Ovis aries: one gene and its partner. The main gene of each other region encodes a partner of the protein of the gene in region 2 in a complex. Links are inferred from orthologs where the notes say so. Each region holds a gene or a part of one and is shown on either strand. Other genes may lie near its edges.

Region 1 (3,651 bases), on a different chromosome or scaffold from region 2:
AGCTTTTTTTCAATTTTATCCTTTACTTAATTTTCTAGATTTTTTGCAATGAGTATGTACTTCATAACGAGAGGAAAATAATTACATATACGTGTATACACACACACACACACACACACATATAACATGTGATAGACATACAAAGACCCACAATGAGACTAGGAGGGCCCAAAATCAGCTTCAAGGATCCAGCCCCCGAAATTAACACACGTGGAAATTCTCTCAGAGATGCAAATGGAAGCTGGATGTTCAGGTAAAAGCGAGACTGAAGAGGAGTAAGAACTAGTCTGTAGTTCGCCTCTGGTGTAACTATGTCCCAGACCAGCCTGACGATCAACCATACTGTCTTCTGCCTAAGGCCAGAGCCTCACTCTAATGGGATGAAGTGGTTTTTGACCCCCTTCAGGGAAAGGATCTGGAAGCTCAGGGCAGGGCAGGAAAGGAGATGGGAGGGGCAGGCAGAGAGAGAGGCTGGGTGGTGGGCGTACATCCTCAGGCACTCCAGCCTCTCCTGACCTGGTTCCCCTGCCAGCCCACCCAGCGCACCCATGAACCCCTTCACAGCCCAGATCCCTCAACATCCTCCTGGTTTCTTCCAGCCCCTCCCAATCCCCCTTCCTTACAAATGGTCATCCCCTGTCTCTAGAAGGCCAATTTTGACTGACACACACCCCACCCCCCATTCTCACCCCCCTGCTACACTGCCTCAGCTCTTCCTGAGCTCCTCGCCCACCACCAATTCCTGAATCTAGAAAAGAGCAGGGTCATCTCCGCTACATGCACTCAACACACACCCAGACTGACCCAGAGGCAGAGGGCGGACCAGATGGCCCCCTGGCTAGGACAGGCAGGGTGTGGCATATTTCCCACCCCTGAGGTCTCCACCTGCTCATAGAGGGTCCTGAGGAAGTTGATCTCGTCATTCAGGCCATCCACCTTGGCCTCCAACTCCACCTTGTTCATGTAGGCAACATCCACGTCCTGGGAGGGGTGGTGGCAGAAGGGGTAGATGGATAGCGTGTTCTCAGTACATGAAACATTTGGCAGCCAGTACTCTCCAATCCCAGGACCAAACCCCACTGCCCTACCAAGAAACATGCAGCAGCTCCATGCTGCCTGACATATCCACAGCAGGAAGTTCCCTCCAGTGGACCCGCCCAGGCTTTGAGATGGACATTATCTCCACTCAGCCCCAGGACTGGAGGTGCCTTCTCAGCACTGACAGCCCAGAGCATTCTGAAGCCCCAAACCGAGCGCTTCACCAGTTCCTAAAGGCTTCAGTGGTTTAGACACACCGCCGGCTCTGCCCCCTAGTGGCTATGTCACCTTGAACAAATCATTATAACTTCATGAGCCTCAGCTTTTCATTAGTCAAATGGGAGAGCATGAAATCATGCAGACTCCAGGATACCACACCCAGAGATGAGAAATCTCCAGCCCAAATGTGTAACTGGCAACTTGGGTGATGCTGAAGCAGGCAGGCCACAGATAACACCACAAGTCCAGATGATGTCTGGGCACCATCCTCTGCTGTGGGTTCCTCCGGTGGGGAGCGCTCACTTCCACTCATCCCTGAATCTCCAAGGGCACAGCACTCCAGGGCAGGTTACATTTCTGTGGATGGGCCTGGGACACTGAGTAAGTGTACTTTAAAGCATAGTCTTAAGTCAAGCCCTTATTCCTAAGGTCTTCCAAACTCAACTTGCACACCTCCAGGTATAGGAAGGCTCACTCTGCCTCAAGGCAGCCCATTCATTCACTATTTCAGGCTGGCCATGTGCCACCCTCATCCGTAACTGAATGTTCTAACTGATAGAACACTTACTTATTGTGGGGTTGCAATTGCCCTCTCCAACCTCCAACTTGTCGTCTTAATTCTAATCTTTCCAAGCCCAGAAACAAGTCTACTGACTTGCCACACACACACACATGCACAAACACACACCACACGCACACACACACACCACACGCACACACACATACATGTACACGTTATAGCCTTATAAAGGGCCTGGCTTTCAAATCTTTCCTTCTCCAAGCCCATCATTTCCCTCTTATAGACCCACCAGACTCTGACCACAGGTCCCTATTGGTTGCTTTGGTGAGAGGCATGTGGTCCCCGGGCCCCTGTTTCTACAGTGTCCCCTACCCTCCCTGTATGCCCCCCTCACCTTCTTCAACACCACAAACTCATTCTCAGCAGCTGTGCGACGGTTAATTTCATCTTCATACCTGCAGCAAAGAAAGGAAGCATGGTGTTGGTGCAACTCTGCCTCTATCCCCTCATATCCAAGTGTGAAGGTCTGCCGTGCATCACCTTCACTCCCTCCTTAATGACATGGTAGCTCAGTTGGTAAAGAGTCTCCACAATGCAGGAGACCCTGGTTCGATTCCTGGGTCAGGAAGATCCAGTGGAGAAGGGGCAGACTACCCACTCCCGTATTCTTGGGCTTCCCTGGTGGCTCAGCTGGTAACGAATCCACCTGCAATGTGGGAGACCTGGGTTCAATCCCTGGGTTGGGAAGATCCCCTGGAGAGGGAAACGGCTACCCAATCCAGTGTTCTGGCCTGGAGAATTCCATGGACTGTATAGTCCATGGGGTGGCAAAGAGTTGGACACAACTGAGCGACTTTCACTTTCACTTATGATGCAAAATGTCCCTGACTCATCCATATGGCTATTCCTAGGACTTTGAGTCTTGGCAGGGGGTGGGGGTGGGGGAGCAGGGAACATATGTGAATTAAAGGACAGAGGCTGCATATCCAGGGAGTGAGAAGGCAGAGAACAGCCATGCTTATGGACCGCTTCATATGGCCCTGCCCCGTTACATGCTTCCTGCACATTCGCTAATTTAATGTCCACAACAATCCTGTTAACAATTGCTGTGACTCACAGGAAGAGGAACAGAGGCGCTGAGAGGCAAAGTACTCTGTGCAGTCATTAAGCTGCTAAGTGCAAAGCCCAGACTTGAAGCCTGGTCATCTGAGGCTTGAGCTTAACCTGCTTAATCCCATTGGCTGAGGGTGAAGAAGGGGCCTGAAGAGGAGGCACCTTGTGGACTCGGGAAGAAGAACCAGGTCCCAAGTAGGTGGGGAGCCCCCATCCCTACTCTCACAGCCCCCCTCCCATCCTTCTTTCTCTCAAGGAGCCAGCCCCTTGTCCATAGAAGGACACCAGCAAAGCCAGGCACAGAGCAAGAAGGCAGCTGGGCCTGGCCCAGTGTTTACTGGAGGATTCAAAATAGGTGTCGGAAACTGAGAACAACAGGAGCAATGTGGGGCAGCTTCAGTGGGGAGCAGGATGCTCGGGCAGGCAGAGGCCCTCCAGGAGCCCAGACCCCCAAAGTCCACTCCCCCACCCCATCCTCTAGAAAAGTTAGAAAAATATCTACAAGGCTGTCTGCCCATTCCTGCTGTGCCGCTGGGCCCAGAGGGCACACAGATGAGGGCTCCGGGGGCAGCCGCATCAGGACCCCTCCCGACATCCCCTTCCAGCTCCTCCTTCAGCCTGGTCCGGAGCTCAGCCTGGGGCCCCAGGAAAGCGCTCTGGAGCTTTGGCTGGGGGGAGCATGTGTGCACACCTGCAGGGCCGGGGAGGCCTGGACAACAGGGGCTCATAGGCTGTCCCAGGCCTCCCCGGCCCTGCACCTG
Region 2 (3,651 bases):
TATTTTTAGCAATAAGTTCAAGACAACCTAAACAAGTGAGCTGGGAAGCTGCAACTCGAGAAGCAAGAGTCTCTCCTGCAGTAAAAAAAAGATAATTGCACATTTGAGAATGCAAACAGCAGACAGTTATTAATGTTATTTATGTTTAAATATCCACACAATGCAGATGAGGCATGTTCAGACCTGAACAAGTCTCATTTTCTATCATTTTGCCCTAAATATTGCTTCTAGTACATATGATTTCACCTGGAAGTGTTTCTTCCAAGGAGATTTTTAAAAGAATAAGGAAACAACTCACCTGGCATAGTCACCATGGGTGTCCCTGCCCAGAGAACATCCATCCCTGTGGTGTGTCCATTACAAAGGGGAGTGTCTAGACAGACATCAGCCAGCTGGCCTCTCCGGACATGTTCCTCTTTAGGAGCAACAGGTGAAAAAATGATACGGTTCTGAGGAAGTCCCATATTTTGTGCATACTGTTGAATATTAGGTTCTCCTACTGCTGGAAAACGTAACAGCCACAGTACACTATTGGGAACACGCTTCAGAATCTAAAATAGGGAAAACAAGAACAAGTATTAATAGCTCTGCCCTTCTCAAGAAGGGCTCCCATAAATTTCTAGTAATTCTACCATATACCATACTCTATGCTACTCACCTAGAAAGCAGCTTACTGTGAACTTAAGTTTTTTTTTTTTTTTCACATAGATAAACTAGATCAACTGGGTTATAGTGTTCTGCTTAGCTGTCCCCAAACACAGTTCAAAGAAACAGGAGACTGATGTAAGAAGCACAAAACAAGTAACTAATTGGAAAAATCTGAGGCAGCTATGTCCTGTGGGAACTGATACTAGGAGTGGTTTTTGTCCACAAGATAGGAATTTTCCATTTCAGCTTTCAAATTCCCCAGCATGGTACAACAAACAAAGTTAGCTCACATTTGCCAAACTTTATTTGCCCAATCTAGATCAGGGGTCGGCAGATTTTTTTCTGTAAAGGACCAGACAGCAAATATTTTTGCTTTTGATGCCAGCATGGACTCTGTCATAACTATTCAATTCTGCCCTCGTCACTGGAAAGTAGCCACAGACAATATGTAAATTAGTAGGCATAGCTGTGTGTCAATAAAATTTTATTTACAAAAACAAGCAGTTGGGACTTTCCTGGCAGTCCAGTGGTTAAGACTGTGCTTCTACCACAGGGGGTGTGTGTTTGATCCCTGATTGGGGAACTAAAAGCTGGCATGCCTCACATTGTGACCAAAAACAAACCGAAAAACCAAACAAACAAAATAAGAACAAGCAGCGCACTGGATTTGGCCCACTGGCCACAATTTGTCAACCTGATTTAGATCCACATCTATTCAATTATGTTCACCATCCCTTCACTCAAAGTCATGAGAACAGACAGATTTCAGAATTTAGAGTATTTCAGATTTTTTAAAAGTAGTACATAAGTATAAATTACATAATGTGCTCAGCAGCAACTTCCTGTAAACAAACATATTAATATCTTTCCATCAAGATGTAGAATATTCATACTAAATGGAATAAAATAAAGAATCATAAATAGCTTAACATCATTTCAGGCAGTTTTGCTACCAAATAAATTACTGCAAACTTATGAACATGTTTTTGGTTTTCAGGTTTTTTGAAATGGGGAACTGAAAACGAAGGGATAGTAAACCTGAACTCATCTGCTTCCTCTTCTCCTCCACCCTCCCTCCTTCCAAAAAAAAAGAAAACACACCAAAAAACCCAGATATTGATCAGAAAAAAAGTCAACCAAGAATTATCTCCATTTTAGCTCTATGGAATAAAAACCAGGTATGGATAGCAAAGTTTAGAACCTTCAGAGGTCCTGCTTACACGAAGTAGTACAATGAAATGACTGATATAGGTAACGGCATAAACCAATTCCTTCCTAGTTTTAACTCTACAATATTGCAAGAATGCTACTAAACACGGATGAATATACATTAACAGCTTTACTATCAGCTTAGACCATGAGTTGGCAAATATAGCCTATGAGCCAAATCTGACATATCTCACGTATTGCCCGCTTTTGTAAATAAAAATTTATTGGAACATACCTACGTTCATTCATTTACATAAGTATGGTGTTTTCCTGTTACAACGGCAGAACTGAGTAGATATGACAGACAGTATGGACTGAGAAACCAAAAATATTTACCACTTGGCCTGAAGAAGTTTGCTTTTAAATACATCAATTTTAAAAGTCCATAATTTGATATTTAGACACATGAAAGAACATAAAAAACTGCCGAAACCTACAGCTCTTTTGAAAATTAGACATGAGCACAATAGTTCCTGAATGGGGGTGGGGGAGGGGCAGGCAGCCTCAGCAAGACGGCCTATATACAGAATCTTTTCTAGAATCTCTAGACATTAATAATGAATCTACACATACTCACATTTGCCCACATCTGCAAAGTAGAAGGGTCAATTTTATATAACTGATTAAAGTTACAGTACACAATGGCATCTTCTGGTAGCCCATACTGAGACCGTGTGGTTACAATAATGGTACGAGGAACCTCTTCTCCAGTGGCAGCCTTATTGTTGATCTACAGCAAGAAAAAGAATATGAATGACGATTATACTTAAAGTCAACATACTCCAATATTTTTCAATCAATAAAGAATCCTTATGATGCAAAGTGGTATAACCATTAAAAGTCATATAACTAAACTACAATGGGAAAATACTTGTGACGCATTAAGTTAAAGGAAAAAAGTTAGGGCACTATCTTAATTTGGGGTGGACTGCACTATGAAACATCTCACTCTAGCCAAAAAGTTCTCTTCAAAATCGTATAAGTCCAATAGCAAGCTTCTTCTCACTCTTTTTCTTCATGAATGAAATGTCCTTTTCTAAATCACATCCACCTTTCAGGACTAAACTTCAGTTACCAAACAATCTCTGTAAAAGCTCCTCGCCTCACCACTATTTCTGAGCATCTACATACATAATTATAGTCTTATCTTGCAATTCCCACACATCTGGGGACTACCTTACATTGTTATGTAACTATTCCAGGTGTGATGGACGTCTCATACAAATGGGCATTGTGTTCTACATTCAAAATTCTTTGCCCTTGTACACTTCAAGTATTACACTTTTTTTCCCTTAAGTCAAGCATGTCTGCCCTATTGTTTCAAAGGACGGTTAACCAGAAGGGGGGGAAAAACACATCAGTCTTTTCAACTCACCTGAATTCACTTCAAGCACCCTCTGTATAAATTGCTATACCACTAAAACTTTTAACTCCTAAGAGGCCAAAGATGCTTGCCTTATATCTCTTGACAGAGCTACACATTCACTTATTCAAGTACACAAGCAATATATATTTACTGAGCACATACTACATTACAGAGGCTAAGATACAGGCTCTAAAGTAATTCAATTCAGTGGCAAATACATTCAAACCCAGGACTTAGAATGTGTTGTGCTGGATGTAAAGATACATGCCAAATATTTCAGAAGCAGAGAATACAGGTACCAATGGAGCAGGGAAGGAGAGGTTACAGATATGGACAGAAACAGATTGTCGGAGGAGCTGTCTGAACTGACAGTCTTAAGAGATGAGTAAGATTTAACTGGGGAAAGGATGAATTATATAGAAGCAAGA

Evidence for each region. Proteins that work in one complex are often made in the same cells at the same time.
Region 1: the proteins of OGT (region 2) and keratin, type II cytoskeletal 7 are in contact, whole or in part, in a crystal structure (PDB 4XIF), measured with the Homo sapiens proteins. The link is inferred for Ovis aries from reciprocal best matches to the Homo sapiens genes OGT and KRT7. Residues at the interface, in NP_858058.1 of Homo sapiens: His506, His508, His509, Asn567, His568, Pro569, Tyr642, Thr643, Lys644, Gln849, Phe878, Val905, Ala906, Pro907; in NP_005547.3 of Homo sapiens: Val9, Phe10, Thr11, Ser12, Arg13, Ser14, Ala15.

Annotation. Positions count from the first base shown.
Region 1 is NC_056056.1:134,145,644-134,149,294, forward strand, and holds part of keratin, type II cytoskeletal 7, read right to left. Parts: intron 2,233-3,651; coding exon 2,172-2,232; intron 982-2,171; coding exon 886-981; intron 1-885.
Region 2 is NC_056080.1:64,228,822-64,232,472, reverse strand, and holds part of OGT (UDP-N-acetylglucosamine--peptide N-acetylglucosaminyltransferase 110 kDa subunit), read right to left. Parts: intron 2,588-3,651; coding exon 2,435-2,587; intron 552-2,434; coding exon 299-551; intron 76-298; coding exon 1-75. UniProt on the Homo sapiens protein: Catalyzes the transfer of a single N-acetylglucosamine from UDP-GlcNAc to a serine or threonine residue in cytoplasmic and nuclear proteins resulting in their modification with a beta-linked N-acetylglucosamine (O-GlcNAc).